4 linked regions of the Solanum lycopersicum genome follow. The main gene of each other region encodes a partner of the protein of the gene in region 4 in a complex. Links are inferred from orthologs where the notes say so. Each region holds a gene or a part of one and is shown on either strand. Other genes may lie near its edges. The genes, in order: THO complex subunit 5A, THO complex subunit 2, THO complex subunit 3 and THO complex subunit 6.

Region 1 (5,001 bases), on a different chromosome or scaffold from region 4:
TCTTTATTCTAATGCGAGGGTTGAGTTTGTGGTTGGTAATATGGGTGTTGTTTACTTGTGTTATTTTCTCTTTACCTTCCTTGACTTAGATGAACCAACTTAACTTTAAAGTCAGACTTATAACACTTACCTATTAAATTGGTCTATATACGTATTTGGCATTTGTATCTAGTGTGTTTGGTACGAAGGAAAACATTATCCACGTATTGTTTTCCATTTTTCTCATGTTTCGTTGCTCATATTTGAGAGAACATTTTGGTAAGGATCACATTTTCCTCTAATTAGTTGAAAATGACTTCCTCAAGGATCCAAGGCAGTAATAAATTCTTCTTATTCTTGTTGTCTCTATATCTCAAGTTTGACATGGAATGGGATTCTAAAGATTTTCATGTTTTTACTATAGCATCCTTCATTGGGGGCTTCAGAATAATCTCTAGTACTTTGCTATAATCTGTGTTATCATTTTTGTCTTAGATTTAGTAAGCTATGCTAATTCTTACATGAATAAATTGTATAAACTCTGTGGCTGTACTGCACCTTACATATGTTAAATGGATTCAGGAGTTACACAAGGCAATGAAGGGCTTGGGGACGAATGATACAACTCTCATAAGGATAATAGTCACGCGAACTGAGATTGATATGCAGTATATAAAAGCAGAGTACCAGAAAAAGTATAAGAAATCTCTTAATGATGCTGTTCATTCGGAGACTTCTGGTGATTATCGGACCTTTCTTCTATCTCTTCTGGGGCCTGGTCACTGAATCAAGAGTCTACGCCATGCAACAGGTGTTATTAGTGTGGTATTAGTGTTGAAACTAGTGTGTAAGCAGTTTCTATTGTATGCTAATTATTGTTTGCTTATTTGCTGAGTAGTTGATTTGGAACAATGTCTGTCCATGATCAGTTGGATACCTTTTTTAGTTTAGTCGAATGCTAAGTGTGAATGGTGTTGTGAAGGTGCTTTCAGATGTACACTTATTTGGGTATGTTTGGTACCGGAGGAAAATATATTTTTTCCCACCTAAATTTCTCATGTTTGGTTGGTTAAATTTTTTGAAAAATATTTTGCAACATCCGTTATTTCCTGCCCTCACTTTAATAGATTTGTTGTTTGTGCGGTCAGTATTTTATATTGTTGAAAAATTAAGTTTATACTTTGTTCACTGATTATGATGGTCCAATTGAGATTTTTTTACGTATGAGTTAGAAAGTCAACTTTAACATCTCTCAACCATGTCATAATTTTATTCATCTCATTGTAATCGCGTTTAGTAAATTTTGACTGTGTATGACTGTGTTGGGTAGGCAATAATATTTATAGACTATCACGTAACTTTGACCAATCATTCCTTTAAAAAAACTCTCGAGAGCCACAAATATTAAAAGAATGGACAATAATAAGTAGTTGAAGAAAATTTGTTTTCCTATTCAATTTTAAATGCTACATAGATTGCTCTTTTATTATAGGGTGATGATTTGCTTCATATATCTCATTTTAAGGGTATTAAGTATGTTTTATACAATTAAACAAATGAAGAAAAAAAGGAAGTGGTTTGAAAATATAATTGTGTCTAATGGTAAATGATCACATTAAAAGTAGTATTAAAATTTTGAAGTCAAACTATTATTGTTGTTATTATTATTTTTAGAGCGCTCGCTACTTTATTTGCTTGTCGGAAGTTATGACGGACTATCAAATTTCCCAACAATTTTTCAAAAATTTTTGATTAATTAAAAAATAAAATATTAAAGGAAGGAATTTACTAAATTTGTATTTGTATTTTCTAAACGAGTAAACAATGTATCACATAGAAAATAATTTTTGAGTAATACAAGAACATCTTGAAACAAAAACATATCTCTTTTTAAAAAAATCTTTTGCCTAATTTTTTTTCCTTTTAAATTATGGAAATTAATGCTTAAAAAAGGAGAAAAAAGAAGGAAGCAATAAGAAGGGAAGACCGAAGCGCTCGCTCGAGCAAGAGTAAACGGATCAAACCCTAGTAACGTACACATCCAGAAGCTTAATGTACCACTTAAACCTGTAGGCAGCGACTGAGTAAAGATGAAAATGGACGTAACCATGGGGGAACCCGGTGAGATACTGCCGGAGCACAAGCCGGAAAGGTCGCCGCACGAGGTTCTGCAGCAAAGCAAAGCTTCAGTAGAGGAAATCGTCTCGAAAATGCTTTCTATGAAGAAAGAAAGCACGCCGAAATCTGAAATTCGCGAACTTGTCACTCAGATTTTCATCAACTTCGTCTCTCTCCGTCAGGTTAATATTTCATTGCATCTCCAATTGTTCCTTTTTAAAGTTCTATGAGTCCAGTTTCCAATTAAATAATCCGCTCGTCAATCCGATTTTGAAGTAGAGGTAGCATTTTGTTGTTAACGAAGTGATTAGACCAGTCAAACGAAGATGAGTTTAAGTTTAAGTATGAGCTGTTAGTACTCTAGACTCAATTTTTATATATGTATCATCCTTATGAATGTTGGTTGATGTAATTCAATGGACTCAGCTACAATACTCAGTGAGAGACTGAGAGTTGCTCTAAACCTTTGTAGGTAGATTTACCGGAGACCTGTGCTTTTTAGGTACAGCTGCCCTGGCGCTAGTTCATTTGGGACTATCATGGAGGGAGTCTATGCATAGTTAATTAATCGGATTTAGGAAACTGCGACCTTTCTCCGTTGTATTCTATTTTCATCCTGCAAAACACCTGTTAGTATTGTTTATCTTTGATCACTCTGGTTGGTAATCTCAACTCAATTTTATTTATTGAGTAGTTCTGATCTACGTGTACATAACAAACAAAAAGAACTGTATACATGTGCTTCCGTTTCTTCCTTTCTCTTTTTGGCAATTAAAGAAACATTTTATTAATTTCCAACTACCAAGTGAACTCTTTACAAAGCTAGGATGAAATATGAATTAACCAATTCAATCCTTTCTCATCTCATCTGCTAGAAACCAAACTAAATGGCAAATATAGTTAACTGCTCATTTAGTGATTCTACATATCTAAACAACATCCTACTATTCCTAGTTCTTGTGTTCAGAGAGAGCTTCATCTAAGTGTACTAGTTTCTCCTTGTGCATGGATGTGATTTGCAAAATCTGTCTGTTTCTTTCTGGCCATATACCATAAACCACCATAGTTAGACTACTTTTAAGTATCATCTTCCTTGGATCTTCGCCTCTGAAATTTTGTTGCATCCAACTCCATTCAAGTTCCCACTCCAGTATTGCCTTGATCCTTTTCTGCAATTTGCATATGTCGCTCCATATATCTTTAGTAAACTGACACTTGAAAAATAGGTGACTTCCAGTCTCGACTAAAGTGCTGCAGAAGATGCAAACAGGATATACACGAGTCCCCATCTCAAGAATAAATTTTTAGTTTTTAGCTTCCCCTGTAGACTCAGCCATAGGATGAAACTGTGTCTAGGTACAGCTATGTTATGACATAACAATTTATTTCATTTTGGTCATGGTACTAGGAAATGGAATCCTTAAATGGCGCCTTATATCACAATAATATAAGCAGCTGATTCTGTAGAGTGGGCTGCAATAAGGGCCCGGTGTCATTATGTTAATGAAAAATGGCTCGGCAGTATGTTGACGAATTGTCCCTCTATAAAAACAAGTTTTATAAGTCCAGGGACATGAGAATAGATCAAAAAACAGGGAGACTCAACCGTCTCCTGAAAGAGATGCAGCTTTGTTGAAAAGACAATTATCTCGCTTGCAAACATATCTGGGCGAGATTAAATATATGACTGGGGTACCCGATATTGTAATCAGCGTTGATCAACACGAAGATATATGGCCCTGTGAGAGTGTTATTACTTTAGGAATTCCGACAATTTGTTTCTCGAAGATTAGGTCTAGTTGTTAGGCTGTACCCTTAATATTGGAGAGTCGGTTGTATCTTCTTGTGTTTAAACTCGAATTCTGATTGAATGAAATTATTGCTTGATTGCTTTACTTCTCAAACTTGAACATGCTTCACTGCAAATTGCTCATATAATGTCTCTTAGGGTTGCAGTTATTATTGTTAGGCTGGACATATTCCATGTAAAGTTTAGATTCATATATTTTTATTTGATTTTTTGAGCTCCACACTTTGAGTAAGGTACTAATCCTTGAAATTTGTGGAACGTTTTGGGCTCTCTTATTTCATCTTACCATTATTAAGTTGTTTTAATAAACCAACGTTAGGATTGCGGAATAGCAAAATAATTGTGCCATTAAATCTATGCACGGAAGTAATTTGTGCCTGGAAATCTATAATATGTTCGACTGACTTTTTCACACTACCTTAAACGTCCCATAGGCAAATAGATCAATATTGCTCGAAGAGGATCGTGTGAAGGGGGAAACTGAACGTGCAAAAGCTCCTGTGGACTTCACCACGCTGCAGCTCCACAACTTGATGTATGAAAAAAGTCATTATGTGAAAGCTATAAAGGCCTGCAAAGATTTCAGGTCAAAATATCCTGATATTGAACTTGTTCCCGAGGAAGAATTCTTTAGAGATGCACCCTTGGAGATAAAAAACACTGTTCTGTCAAATGATAACTCACATAATTTGATGCTAAAGCGGTTCAATTTTGAGCTATTCCAGGTAAACTAGTTTAATGCAATTGGCGAGCACTTCTTTCTATTTCCGCACTAGTAATTGGCGAGCACTCCTTTCTATTTCCACATTAGTAATTGTTTACTAGTGTTCTTTCTCAGCATGTTGTGCGAAACGGAGTTGTTAGAAGTTTCATGTTGCTTGGTGAATCAAATTCTTATCTTTATTCTTAAACTCTATGTCTTTATGTACTATCATCTTTCCTTTTTTTTTTCTTTTTTTTTTTAAAGGTAATATTATAATCATCTTCTTTATTTCAATTACTAAACTGGTTCCAGAAGTAGATGTTGTGAAGAAAGTTTCATACCCAATGTTGTTACAATCAATAAAAATACTCTGAAACTATACCCAGTTTGG
Region 2 (4,546 bases), on a different chromosome or scaffold from region 4:
TTTTGAAGGAAAGAACAACAATATTCAAAAAACAAAGATAAACTGCCTAGGTCTTTATTATTTTTGGTGTAAGCAAGTAGCAATAGGAAATTCTGAAGATGTTTCTAATGTTATTCTGGCTCTAACTAGAAGATATTAGGGCTGATGCAAGTATGAAATTTTGAAGGGGAACTACAATTTGATGTAGTATACCTGTGGATATATAGAAGTAAATGTTACCTTACTCCAAAAAAAAAAAAAAAGATTCTAACGCATTAACCAGGAAAAAGGCATTTTTGACCCATTAGTTAAAAATATGGGCAATTTTTGACCAAACAATTAGTAGTAGGGGCATTTCTTGACCAATCTATTGATGCAAAGGGCATTTTTGGACCATACTATTAACTGAGGGCATTTTTGTTGAATTTCCATAATTTAAGGGCATTTTAATCCTTTTCCATTAATTTTATGCAAAGTCCTGTGTAGTTTGCCAGCTTATGTGTTGAATGTGCTGAAGCCAAAACTCAATTCAATGCTTCAGTGCATATTCTAAGGAGCGATAACGCTAAAGAGTATATGTTAGAAATGTATTCTTCATCAATCTTCATGTGTTGATACCATCTTTGAAATGAAGTGCACTCTTGAAACGGAAAACTTCTTCAATTTAAGAACAATGGTCAAATATAGAGGGCAGGACTTTAAAAAAGGAAATGGCCCCTTGAAAGGAGACAGACTGACAATACAACATGTTGTTTCTTTCACGAGGCTTCACTTCCATTTTGATGCTTGCTTAGAAACATTAAATTTAGATCTCAGATATATAGCCAAAACACACTTTGAATAACGATCAAAGATTTTTTTTCAAAAAAGTATGAGCAAATGGGAATAACTTCAAATGGAACTCCCAAATTTAGAATGTCAGAATTAAGAATAACATGCAACGAGTGAGTAGAATATCTATTTTTATACAGACAGAAAATGTGTATACCTATCAGTCTCAAGGATGATGGAATTCTAAACTATCATAATAGTATATATTCAGTTCCAGTGACTTTCCTAAAGTTCAATAATAATTGTGGGCATGACGTAATAACATCAACAATTTCACTGTCTACTCTATCTTGAACAATTATGCATGAAATGTGAATCAGGCTTACCTTAATTGAAAGTTCTCTCTCTTCCCGCTTTCTATCTCGAAAATCATCTTCTCTCCTTCTCTTCAAATCATCCTGCAACAATGCGTTATTCTCTTCTGATCGCCGTCTCTCTCTCTCATCATGCCTTGGAGAAAGTCTTTGACTATGTCTGGCAGTTCCAAAACGTCTATCAGAATCGTCCTCTCTCCTGCCTGCACTAATGGATTGCGGGACCAGATGAGGAGGCAGTGGTGGAGGTGGAGGCAAATTTTGATTATGAAACCGATCATCTGTAAGAGATTTTTCTACAGATGCTTCATTATGTCGCAGCTTGCTCCTATCATCTTTGATCCTTTCATCCTTACTCAACCTATCAAAGTTCCTATCAGCAACTCTCTCATGTACTCTCTCAATTGAACGTTCTCTTCCATGCCGCTCCGTTGATCTATCTCTTGATTTTTCAAATGCATCATCACCGCGAGACCTATCAGGACGGTCCCCTCGCTCTCTGGGGTCTCTCTCAGGTCTTTCACCACCCTTTTCTTTTGATCTATCAAGAGGCTTTTCAGAGGCTCGGTTCAATATTTGATCATCAGATCCATGTTTATCATAATCTGCTGGATGAAGTTTATCTGCAGCTCGTGCATCTATTAACCATTCTTTCTCCGATGAACGAGCATCAGCACATTCAGTATCTCTACCGTCAATTTCACCTTTCCGGCGTTTGTTCAGTCTATCAAGCTCTTCTGCGGGAATAGATCTCTTCTGTACTTTTTCATTAGCTTTAGAAGCATCTTGTCTAGGCGAATGAACCAGACGCAATGTGGACTCCTTATGCACATCAGAACTTTCAGTGACATCATCTTTTCCAGCAGAAACCCTCAGATCAGCAGATTTAGTAGTTGTATGTTCAGCATTAGATTCGTTTGAAGGATCTAACAATCTCGTCAATGGAGCTGCACCTTTAGGTGCAGCAGAAAACATGCTACCGTTCCCTGAAACTGTAGTAGAAACATTAACACTCCCACTTGCTCTGCTCTCAGAAGGATAACTAACATCACCAGAAGCAGCTCCAGATGCTCTTCCAACAGTTTTCCCAGATTTTTCATCTTTTGCAATATCATGTTTTTGTTGCTTTGACAGAGATCCAACCGGAGTAGATCGCTTGCCTGTGCCTCTTCCCTACAGTAAAGGGTGAATATTTTTTAAGTTCAAACAAGTTAACAAAAGAGAACTGCTCAACTAAATAATGGAAGGATCCATCATCTGCAGAAAGATTCATCGAAAAGGAAAGCAAAGCTTCATAATACATATTACACACTAACAATTAGGGGTGGCAATAGGCGGGTTGAGTTGGGTAAAAAAAGAGTCTAACCCATTTCTTTGTATCTTCATTTTTTCAAAAAATCTCAAACATTATTAAAATTCATTTTCTGCTTAAAAGTTCCTGCTAAAAAAACTAAGAAAATATGAATTAATTAATGAGTCTATGACTCAAAACTCAAAAGGTCACTTAACTATGTTGATAGCACACTCAACCAGATATTTTAGATTTTCCACTGTCCAAATACCTATTTAACTACCTGAATTATCAATCTATGCTCTTTTTTGTACTTCTTAAATATTATGATACTTTCTGTTTCTAATTAACATTATGGACTTATCTATGCTGACGGTCTACCGGAAACAACCTATCTACCTCCAAAGGTCTATGTGCATTCTACCCTCTTCATAGTCCACTGGTGGGATTATACATGGTATATTGTTGTTGTGGTCTAATCTATAGGATAATTAATATATCTTATTTATAAAGTAAAGGTGATTATTTTTTTTTAACAAAAATCAAGCATATACAGTATTAATAAAATAATGGAGCATAGTAAAAAAATTACTAGATAATTTAGGAATAATTGAGCCACCATTGTCTCCTCACAAGTAGAACACGTGCTTCTTATTCAATGACTTTACTAAGCCATCTACTAGACTACTACACATTATGTATATGTCAGTGTTCTCAAAGGCGCTCTTAAGCTACAAGCATAGAACATGTCGAGCGCTTAGTCACACACACGCTTTATGGGCACTTCAGTGTCGTCATCAAAGCTCCGGGGCATAATTTTCCTTGCTAATGAGTGCAATCCTAAAGATGTGACACTAAACAACTGGTATTTCACATTATTGTTATATTTTTCAAAATTTCATTGTCCATATATTTATTATCCATGCTTACGATTATTAATCTCGGACTACATATACATAGTCGTAGTTTTCTTCAATTTGTATTTTTTTCAATTAAGCCCACAATTAATTTGCAATTAAATCCCCAAAGGATCTATGACCTTTTTTGCATGAACCGCTTTTTGACAACACCGATATAAGTTATACATTTGTTTCAAAAAAATTTAATCCCCCTCAAAAACAACAAAAAGAAGTTTGGTCCCACTAGATGCAGAGAATCACTATGATGAGATTGAGAGGATCAAACAGGTTGAACTGTTGAAGCAAGCATCTTCAATGACGATTTAGAAGTGTTGAAGTGCAGCAAGTTGAGGGATAACTGAAATAGGTTGTATGGAACACATATGTCGTGTCTGCAACTTACGAATTAAACCCATACATGGCAAGCCCATTTTCACCCATACAATTACGGGTTAAATATAGGTAGAAACCCACATTTTACCCATTTGAAATATCAAGCGGCCAAAATCTTGACATGATATTGAAAACAACTTATATGTAAACCCATGGTAAAGGTTGATTCGGGTCAATAATGAACCGAATAACCTGATTAAAATAACCCCGATGTATGTTTGGACCCACGCGTGGTGGATGGGACCATTGGGACATGTTAACATATGTGCATGGTGCAAGATGGAAACTATATTCAAGTGTTAAGTGGTTAAAGTATCAAAATGGAATGACGAAATCGAGTCCAATGCAGTGTCATGGCATCATATCGCATGCCTAATGCGAAGAACTTAAAGTTTTTAAGGGAGAGTTTCAGTAACTGATGTAAGGCCAAAAATGTATATTTTTAATCATTATTTGCCACATATTTAGTAATTTTATTTATCCTTTTTGTGCATTAATTTTATGAACCGTGTTTAATAGTATATTTTATTTGTAGGGAGTAAATTGGTATAAAGATGAAATTTAGAGCTAAAACGAATTTAAAATGGCAGATTATTGAAGAAAATCAAGCAAGCAACTTAATGGATTAAATTCAATATAATAATGTATAATATATCATGTGTGAATTGTGAATGGTAGAATTGAAATTGACAACTGCTCCCATGCGTCAAAATCTAAAGACACTCACAAAATTTGAAATTACAACAGCTTCACGCGAAAGACCCAATTCCTTTTAGTTTTGGGTTCGTCATTTGTTTTGGACTCGACTATTTTATTTAAAATTTTCTACATCTATAAAT
Region 3 (5,223 bases), about 18 Mb from region 4:
TGTAGAGTTACCTAACTCATACCCAACCCCCCTGGGTTCCACTTTACATGACATACTTCTAAGCAGTCAAATAACCTTTTCTTTGACCAAAAATATTTTCATATTAGAATGTGTAATTTATAGTTTTCTTTTTTCCAGTTTCTAACTATATAAGATTGTTCTAGACATAAGAAACTGATGTATGAATTGAGACCGGAAATTAACAGGTTTGACCCACTTACGCTAGACCCCTCCAATTATTTTTGAAACAGGAGTAATATTGTTCTCGGATGATTACTTTATGGGAATAAATATAGTGCAAGTCCTCAAGTAACCAATAGACATAGGCTCTTATAGCATTACATTCTTTAAATTCCAACTCATTATTTCATACAGTACTTTGGCAGCTTATTGCTGGTGCAAAATAATATAAACTTACTACGGGCATCCCATAATCGAACTGTCTTGTCACCAGATGCTGTAGCTATCAATTCTGCATGTTTTGGATCCCAACATAACTGGTCCACACTGTCGGTGTGACCCTTTAATTCAACATCTTTTACCTTTCCCTGCAAAAGAGCTATCAGAGACTTGGAGTGTATGCAGACATAAGAGGTTCTATACTCCACCTCTCAAGAATGAGAAAAGACTAGAATATTGAAAACATAGATAGGGCGCAATCATTTTAGTGTAGTTTTATGGTGGCAAGCTATTAATTGTTCAGGTTTTTGCAAGCAAAGGCAAAATATACTACAATCTTCATGCAAGTTCCAAAGTTGAGGAACTTGGGATCTGTGACTATGAAACAAGATAAAAGTACATTTATAGTATTGATACAGAGCAACAGAAGCAAAATATCATTCAATCTTCATGCAAATTCCAAAGTTGAGGAACTTGGGATTTTTGCGACTATGAAACAAGATAAAAGTATGTTTATAGCCTTGATAAAGAGAAATGACAAATGATATAGAGTTATGGAGCACTCGATCTACTAACAAAGTAAAAATTTATCTGGTCTATGACCAAGTAAAAGATTTAATTGATAATAACAAGGCTATCTTGGTCATATAAAAGGAGTATACCACAAAAGGAGAAACCTACCAAACATGGTTCTCCAAAAGACACCTCAATCCTCTATACAAACAAAAATTACACCAAAAGAAAATAAGGGATCGGAGACTACTCCTCAATTGAGCAAAGCTAATCTCCAATTCTCCACCCTTTCAATAGCTCTCCTATTTCTCTCTTTCCAAATGACCCACATTACTGCAAGAGGAGTAACATTCACACCTTGTGTCTTCTTATCCTAACTCCACTCTTCCAACTGAACATCAACACTTCAACAGACATTTGGGATTGCCCAAGAAATATCAAACCATCTAAAGATATCCTACCATAACCTCGAGATGTTTTGCAATGTAGCAAAATATTGATCATGTCCTCTCCTGCCTCTTGACACAAGAAACAACAACTTATGCCCACCACCTTTCATTCCCTAAGATTCTTCACCGTCAATATCACCCCTTTAGTAGCTAACCACAAGAAGAAATACACCTTCTTCAGCACCTTAGGTGTCCATACCGAGTCATACAGAAAACTAACTTCCACCCTAACAGGAAGCTTTTATAGGACTTAATAGAGAACACTTTTTTATTCACCAACTCCCAACTCAAAGCATCAGGTCTATCTACTGGTTTGCATTGCTTATGGTATAAAACTAGAAAGCTTTGAAGATCGGTCATCTCCCAATTTCGGAAATCCCAGAAGGTCCCACCCCCTAATTTGCTGAACAGACAGCTCCCTTTGCCCAGAAATGCTATACAACACCAAGAAATCATTCTTTAACCAAATCACTGCACCACTTTTGACCCCCAAAAACTAGTCTCCTCCCAACCCCAAACTTAAAAGAAAATGTTTTTGTTAAAGGCTTCCCACCCCTTCATTATATTCTTCTACATGCCAAACTCGGAAGGTAACCACATTTGTTCTCCATCTTCCTTCCATAACTCCATATTTGTCCGCTATCACCCCTCCCATAAAGCTTCTTCCTCCATCTCGAATCTCCAAAGCCATTTATCCAAGAGGACTTTGTTAAAAACCTTCAAGTCTTTAACCCCAAGTCCTCACCACTGTTTAGGAGATGTCACGGTCTCCCGTCCCACTAGGTGAAACTTCTTTGTCCCATCCGCCGCATCCCAAATGTTCCTTTGCTACCTTTCCAGCTTTTCTATAACTCCACACCAAGTGCGTTGAGCTGGGACATGCGATATTTTACCATCCTGTACAACTCTGGAGCATTTCTGCATCTTTTTACCCATTCTCCCAATTCAAACCTCTCTGTGTATCTATAACATCGAATTCGTATGACCTCCCACAAGTGAGGTTACGCTTACTTTACCCCACCTTTGATAAGTAACAACAAAATTTAAACCTAACTGCAACAGGCATTACTATCATAGGTTCCTTAACTCATACCACATAGAACTAGACTTTGGCAGAAACAACTAAAGTGAGAGACCAGCTTCTTAACTCTAGAGAAAATCTCAGGTGCCTAAGTTCATGCATATATCATAAAAAGCTATCCTTTTTTCAGTTTATTTACAACACCCAGTTTCCCACCACTTCAGTAGAACATTTAAAAATCAGAGCAATAACAAAAAGCTATCCTTTTTTCAGCATTAAAACTTAACTGAAAACAAAAAAGATGAGCTCATGAAGCTTACATGACCATGAGGCTCAATTTGCCAAATACGAGCTGTTTGATCCACAGAACCTGAAGCTAATTTCGTGCCACTGCAGTTCCATGCCACCGAATGCACCTTTAATTTTTTTTAAAAAAACAGAGAAGATAAAGTATCACATAGTCAATTCATCTAATCAGAGAGTTCATAAAAAGGAAAAGCAAAATTAGGGTTGTATTGTTAACAATGAAGTGAAGGAATAGTTTTAGAGAGAGAAACCTTCTTCTTGTGTCCCTGGTACTCTCTGCTATGAAGATTTTTGAAGGGTATTGTTTCCGCCATTACTCTTCTGCTTGTTTGCTCCGTTTACTTCTCTGAATATTTTTTTTGCTTGTGTAGAAGACGAACAAAACGACACACAATATTGTCGTTTCATGCCAACCCTGTTTAGAAAATGATAGACTAGTCCTTTAAGTTTGAGAATGGTCTAAAATAGTCCTTTATACTGTCGAAATTGAGCATTTTTGGTAATTAACACATGGTCGCTAGTAGTTATTTTTGTTGAAACTGCCTCATGAGAAATAGGTGAGCCCTCTTTTAAACAGAAAAAAAAAATCATCTAAACGGGAATTTCAAGGTTTAAATTTAAACGAGTTACATATTTTGTGTTATAACAATGATCAAGAGCTAGAAGTGTTCAACTTTAATAAATTATTTTGGTGTATAACATTTAAGATCCATTGATTTACCGTAATTATAATTCTTTTGTTATAAAGAAACAATTCATATATTTTATAGAAATAATAATATAAATGGTGGAAATTAATCTTTGATATTTTTTTCATCTAATAATTGTGAAGGAATTAATCGTAGAAATATTTATTGTACATGTTTGTGTGTACTGGCATATATTTACTTTTTTAACAATATTTTATTTTTTCACAAGCATAAGTCAAAGTGTTCATCAAAATGATATCTTTTATATTATTTATTTATTTGGTCTATTAATTGAAAAATACATATAACAAAATATTAGTACCTATCAAATAATTGTCAAAACTGTACAATTATGACTTTTGAGCAAGACAACATTTTCAATAATTTTAAATTTAATTCAAAAGTTTGAACAAATAATACTTCTTATTTCCCACTTTTTCTGGAGATTAATTGATGTGATTGGGGATTAGATATAAAATAAAATAAGTAGCTTGCCCATCTATTCAAAAAAGCAATTTAAAGAATATAAGAAATATTAAAATAAAAAGGTTCAATCAACTTCCTAAATACGTGGAGAAAGTCCAATCTCATCCATTTAAGAGTACTATTAGAGATAATTCTACTTTTATTCCCTCAATTATTCATAATTTTAGTCATTGTGATATTTGATTAAGTATATTTAATTTGTAATGAATTAAAAGTGGGTTTTTTAGATTATATTTGAGTAATAATATAAAACTAGTATGATATTTTGATAGCGAATAATTTAACACAATTATTCATGATATGTTTCAAAGGACATATAATTGAAAAAATTAAATACTTCATGCAATTAATCGAAAATATTCATCAGTTTATTCAAATATTATAATTATAAAATAATTTTAAAAAAATTCATTAGTGTTAATCTTAAAGTTTTAGCTGAGCTATAGTCTCTTTTGACAGAATTCAAAGAAATTACAGTTAAAAATAAATTATTTTAGTTCTTAATTAAATATTTTAACTTTAAATTTAGATAAAATATTATACTAAAGAATACATTTTGTTACATAAATTTTATATAATATAAAAATAAACAAAAATATCAAACAAACAAAAAAAGAAATTATTAGCCACCTACCACAAAATCCACTAATTTAAGGTGTGAAGCACAAGGATGGTCTTTGGTGATACAGTAAAAAGTTGTTAACTTTTTCCATGTTGTCTTTTTTTTTTTTTCGGATAAATTTGAATTAGTTATATTAATAAATTTTGAACAATAAATTACTGAGGAAAATATCTCAAAATAGAGAACTATCTACATGGTAATTCATATATAATATATTTACTTTCATATTTTATACTAAATTTGTATGATTAAATTGCAAATCATCAATTTCTTAGAGGTTCTTTTGATTAATTTTTAAATATAATATACTTGGCAATAAATATAATTATAACATGACAAGTGATATAAATTTAATGTGTCACAATATATTTATTTTGTTAAATACAATATAACATGACGAGTGATATAGATCTGATATCTCATTTATGTGAAGATTATTGAATATCAAGTAGGTATATAAATCAATAATGAAAAATTTTATATATTTTTTAAAAATTAAAACTTTATCATTCATCTATTAAAAAAGTGAAACTATTTTGTGCTCGCATATAGAAACACATTTTTAAAATCATAGAGAATTGAGAAGAAAACAAGTTTAGTGTTGTCATTATACTCGACTTAAGTCAAATAATTTGATTAATCGATAATCTTTTTAATGTTAATTTTACAAATAATAGATTTTATATTTTTTTGTAAAATACCATTACTTCAATCAAATGTATATTATGGAAGAAATTA
Region 4 (5,232 bases):
GAGGTCACCAGCATGTCCTTAATGCTGAGGAATACAACATTACCGTTTTTCAAAAAAACTGGCTTGAATTGGATCCTTAAAATTTCTCTTAATGGAGGTTTAGATCCTGAATCAGTAGCAAAGAGCCAAATTGGTGAATGGAGTAATCTTGGCTGGAAATTTTATTTTTTTTTGAAGAAGGTAACTTGTATTATGAACAAAAGGAATACTCAGAAAAGTATTCCAGTATACTTGCAACAAAATTACAGAGGGAGAGGTGTCCCTACTAAGCTTCATAAATTCTAAAATACTAGGAATATCCTCTTCTTGAGGATATTTGTGTTACACCCAAAAAAAAAGGACTAGACAGTTCATCTTCAGTTTCTGCAGAGAGCGGCTCTTGTTTTCGAAACATCTCTGGTTCCTTTCCATCCATATAGTCCACCAAATGCAGGTTGGGACAATCTTCCATCTCTCCCCGTGTCCCGACTGATTCCCATGGAATTTTAGCTATAGGAGATTAGCAGATTTGCAGAATTCTATGACACACTTGCTCAATATACTGGAACCACCCTCCTCAGAGACATATTATGGTGGAAAAACCCACAACTCAGGTGAATTCTCAATCAAAACAGCAAACCACTAGCTGATTTATGGCAACAATATTAGTGACTTTTGGCCTTGGAAGCACAGATAGAAAGACTATGATTCCATATAAGGTGCCCTGCTTTGTATTGTAAAAAGGCTTGTTCGATACAGGATAAGCAACAAAGAATGCAACTACAGCTATGTTCTATCTGTCTTTTATATGGAAGAACTGCAGAAACAACTAATCATTTGTTCCTGCACTGCAGAGTAACCACCCAACTCTGGGATTTGTTTTGGGTTATGTAGGCTTGAGCAGGACTATGTCAGGGAGTTCAGTAGAGATGCTATCTAGCTGGAGAAGAAAAGGGAGCACCAAAGTTCAGAAAAGAAGATGGAGCATAATCCCAGGATGCATATGGAGGGATATTTAGAAGGAAAGACATTAAAGATGTTTTGATTTTGAATGCAAAAGAAACCCAATCCAAAAGATAAAGTTTAATTCTATTTTGCTATTTCATTTTTAATGTAAACAAGAATACATAGAAGACACTGAAACACTACTTCAAGTCCTAGAGTCTCTATAGTTTTCCTTTTTGCTAGAAGATATCTTCCTAGAATAGTAGCTTTTGCCTTCTAATACTCCTGTGAATACTGCTTCACAGCCCTTTTTGTGATCTAATATAAGTTGTTACCTTCATCAGAAAAAAAAAACATCAGCTGAACTGCTACAAGAGGGGCAGATTGAAAATCTGAAGTTGCTGAATTGACATTTTTAACTTCTAATCTGGTAAGCTGATGAAAGACACAAATACATATACATTGCATCCCCTGTTCTTTCCCCTCCTGAACTTACTTTCATAATGTGAGGACATTATAACAAGTTTGTCCGCCAAACAAATCATTCAGCTGCATCAGTTTCAATACAGCAAAAGTGTTGGATGCTAGAACTGGAAGCAAATCCAAGCAAAGGAGCTCAACATTTTTAAATGTTCATAAATAGGATGTTAGAATCCGTCATTCAACAACAATATAACTACACCTCAATCTCAAACTACTCAAGGATACATTACTGCACACACAAAAAAGATGTTACCTTGTGCTGATTCCGTAGATCCCAACATTTCTTTCCACTTCCATCCTCGAATCCGACCATCATCACCACAACTGCATGAAATTACATATATTAACAAAGAATTGGCACATGTGATAGAATAAATAACACTAACCGGTGAAATTAATAGGATTTATTTACTTTTATGTAATAAGTACCACAAGATAATTGCCTCTCTTGCTTACTTAATTGAAAAGAAAATTACTTCACATAGTTTCACAGCTCAATCATTAACTACAACTCTCTAAAACCTCCGTACGAAACAGTTTTACAACTTTTCTCTACTTGCCCTAACATATGAGCTAACTTGCACGGACTCTTCACTTTTGATGCCTCAACTGTGTCAGATTATTCAAAAATACACTACTTTTGGAGAATCCTTCGTCACGCACCCAATGACATTTTTGAAGAGTCCAAGCAATATAGCATATGAGCTCTAGTCAAGCTAAAAGTTCTTACCTGCATTTTAGATACTTGAAGTAACATTTTCCCATAATTTTGATTCTAAACAAAAGAAAAAAGTTGTAATATCTCCCATCTGTGCAAATTTACCTACAGCTTTATCAGTACAGAAAGATAGACGCAAATTCTGAAAAGCTACCTCAATAATAGTGAATCTTCATGGTTACCATAAAATTTAACATCATAAGCAGGTCCATCATGTCCTTGTACCAGCCAACTAGGTTCAGCTACTGGCACCAATGAACTAAACCAACATCACCAAATAAAATATCAATCCAAATAAAACCTGACCAGAACACTTCGAAAACATTGAGACAACAGAAACTCACTTGCCCGCTGAGTTCAATCCCTATCAATAAGAAAAAGGAATTAAATAGTAGCAATTAGTTTGTAGAGCAACCCCTATATTAACGTTCTTTCCTACTTTATAGACTGTAATATTGAGCTTACAAGGCAAGAAGAGATAGAGTAAGCCGCAATGGAGCCGTCGCTAATGGCGGCGACGATGAGGTCCGGATAGGAATTATGGTCCGGGTTCGGGGCAAATGCAGTCCGGAAGACCGTTCGACATTGAGATTCTCTCTCGAGTATAATGGAATCTCTGTATATGTCTTCTTCCCAGTTTCTGCAGTCCATGGCTGTCGCCATTGTTACCGTAATGTTTTGTGTGTAGTGAATCGAGATAATTGAGGGGATTTTGACAAAAAGTGTTTAGAAATTAAAATTGGTGACAAATTACTGATCCGAGTTAAAAAAAAAATTAATTAGAGATTAAGATAATTGGAATTTAAAATACAATATTTAAATTTTTTAAATTTTTAAAACACTTGAATAAACCCAATTCTCATTATCTTTCTTTTCTCTCAAGTTAACAGTGTATTTTGGGTACATTGTTGCGAACAACTCTATTGCTACGACTTTTCAATGCCTTCCTCTCAAGTTGCGAATTCAATTTATCTTTTTCGTCATCGTCGTCATCTACCCCTTAAGGTAATATTCTTTTCTTTCATAGCTAGGATTTTGAGATTGTAACGGTTGATGATTCATTGCATTGTTTTTGTATATAAATTTTTATATTACTTTTGAATTATAATTTTTTGCTATCATGGCAAATCCTCTTATCAAAACTCAAGCTAACGGAAGTAAAGTTTTTTTTTTTTTTTAAGACTCCAAACAAAATCAAATTGAAAATTTGAAATTTTAAACATGTCCTAACAAAAGTGAGAATTTTTATTTCCTCAAAGTCATTGATCTCAAGGGAATTGATTAAAGCAAAAGGGATAAAGTGAGGTGACATGAGACCATCAAGATGGATATATCTAGATCGGTTTTCCTTGAGAGAAAAATTGCAGACAACAAATACACAAAAATCCACAACTAAGAATCAAAATAAGAACAGATTCAAATATTTTTTTAAAGCTAGCAAAAAGTTATAATAAAATGGAGATTCCAATGAATACTAATACTAATACTAAGTAGGCGTTTGTTGATAATAGAAATTTTATGGATATTTTTGATTTAGCAAAATGATATCGATGGCATGTAACTAAATTTCTATTTAACTGCACTACATTATTATAACGGAAAGAGGAAAAAAAATGAAAATAAGAAATTGTTTTTTGACTCGGGATGAATCTTTAGTGATAGATGAAAAGAATAGTGATGGATTTTATACATTTTTTGGATATACAAAAATAGAAAATCACATTTACGATCTACATAATTTTCTTTATCCTTTACTTTTGAGATTTGATTTTCCTTGACAAAATAATTATTCATCTAATTATAACCTTACTTAATCTATACATGAATATGTATTAAGAAGTGAAATAAGTAAAGCAACATCAAATCTAAAAAATTAGCTTATCAATTTTGCATAAATTTAAAATCGCCATTGTTGATATGAATTGATAGTTTCATCTAGTTGAAAAAAATATATGGTGACTGATATAAGTATTGATGGGAGTAATAGTAAATAATTACAAAGCAATGAAAAATAAAATGAATCAATCAATATGAAATTTTGGATCTTAAGAAATTGACCCAAATTAAATAATGAAGAGGGTGGGTGAAGAGTGAAAAATAATATTTTAAAAAAGATTTGGAAAAGTAAAAAAATAATAATTATCTAACATGTCATCGATGTGACACTTAGGTGGAGCGCCTGCACTTCACCCATGTATATGAAACTGGTATTGTATATGTAAGGTGTTATTTAATTCACTTGCAAAAAGATTAGGGGGGCAAATAATTACCCGTAAAGTTAAAGTACTAAAACAAGTTTTGCTGCCAACTTCAGGATGGATTTTATGTATTTAGACTTAATAATAAATATAAGGATTTTGACTAATTTAAAAGGAAAATCTATATTGGATTGTAATTTTATTTGAATTTGCTACGAACAATAAGTAAATTGTTGTATTCATAACAATTGCTGAAATCCTCTACAACAATTAAATGAGTTGTTATATTTTTTTTATTGCAATTGCTGAAATTCTCTACAACAATTAAACGAATTGTTATAGTTTTTTACAAAAATTGCTCAAAATTTCTATAACAAGTACGAAAATTATTGTAGTTTTCATAGCAATTGCTGAAGTTTTCCACAAAAAGTAAGAAAGTTGTTGTACTTTATATAGAAATTACTAAATTTTCTTTAATAAGTAAGCAAATTAATTGGCTAATTCAATTGACAATACCACTCATATTTAATGAAAATTTGAGTAGTTTCATTTAATTTACGCTTACAATTTATATTACATAGTGATCTTATAAAATGATGTAATTATTTGAGATACCAGATGATCAATTCCATTACAATTTCACATATAATCAATTTATAATGCGTAATTAATTGTTTAATGATTGTAACACTCATATTTAATAATAAATAAAGCAGTGTTAATTTAATTTTAAAAAATAATTTATATTAGATATTGATCTTATATAATGAGATAGTTATTTGAGATATCAAACGATCAATTCCACTACAATTTCACATGTAATCAATTTATAATGAGTACATAATTATTTTTTTTGTAACACTCATATTTAATGATAAATAGTGTAGTGTTAATATAATTTTAAAATAA

Evidence for each region.
Region 1: THO complex subunit 6 (region 4) and THO complex subunit 5A share a complex: the UniProt entries of both Arabidopsis thaliana proteins name them as parts of the THO complex. The link is inferred for Solanum lycopersicum from reciprocal best matches to the Arabidopsis thaliana genes DWA1 and THO5.
Region 2: THO complex subunit 6 (region 4) and THO complex subunit 2 share a complex: the UniProt entries of both Arabidopsis thaliana proteins name them as parts of the THO complex. The link is inferred for Solanum lycopersicum from reciprocal best matches to the Arabidopsis thaliana genes DWA1 and THO2.
Region 3: THO complex subunit 6 (region 4) and THO complex subunit 3 share a complex: the UniProt entries of both Arabidopsis thaliana proteins name them as parts of the THO complex. The link is inferred for Solanum lycopersicum from reciprocal best matches to the Arabidopsis thaliana genes DWA1 and TEX1.

What each region holds. Positions count from the first base shown.
Region 1 is NC_090803.1:65,321,854-65,326,854, forward strand, and holds the start of THO complex subunit 5A, read left to right. Parts: upstream 1-1,778; 5' UTR 1,779-2,069; coding exon 2,070-2,279; intron 2,280-2,569; exon of another isoform or gene 2,570-2,755; intron 2,756-4,341; coding exon 4,342-4,632; intron 4,633-5,001. Other genes in the region: annexin D5, read left to right, coding at 562-765. UniProt on the Arabidopsis thaliana protein: Acts as a component of the THO subcomplex of the TREX complex which is thought to couple mRNA transcription, processing and nuclear export.
Region 2 is NC_090804.1:20,332,806-20,337,351, forward strand, and holds part of THO complex subunit 2, read right to left. Parts: intron 2,298-4,546; coding exon 1,137-2,297; intron 1-1,136. UniProt on the Arabidopsis thaliana protein: Acts as a component of the THO subcomplex of the TREX complex which is thought to couple mRNA transcription, processing and nuclear export.
Region 3 is NC_090806.1:70,055,248-70,060,470, forward strand, and holds the start of THO complex subunit 3, read right to left. Parts: upstream 3,120-5,223; 5' UTR 3,003-3,119; coding exon 2,940-3,002; intron 2,799-2,939; coding exon 2,703-2,798; intron 549-2,702; coding exon 419-548; intron 1-418. UniProt on the Arabidopsis thaliana protein: Acts as a component of the THO subcomplex of the TREX complex which is thought to couple mRNA transcription, processing and nuclear export. Contributes to the integrity of the endogenous trans-acting small interfering RNA (ta-siRNA) pathway.
Region 4 is NC_090806.1:51,842,822-51,848,053, forward strand, and holds the start of THO complex subunit 6, read right to left. Parts: upstream 3,077-5,232; 5' UTR 2,789-3,076; coding exon 2,591-2,788; intron 2,490-2,590; coding exon 2,470-2,489; intron 2,385-2,469; coding exon 2,280-2,384; intron 1,732-2,279; coding exon 1,661-1,731; intron 1-1,660. UniProt on the Arabidopsis thaliana protein: Acts as a component of the THO subcomplex of the TREX complex which is thought to couple mRNA transcription, processing and nuclear export.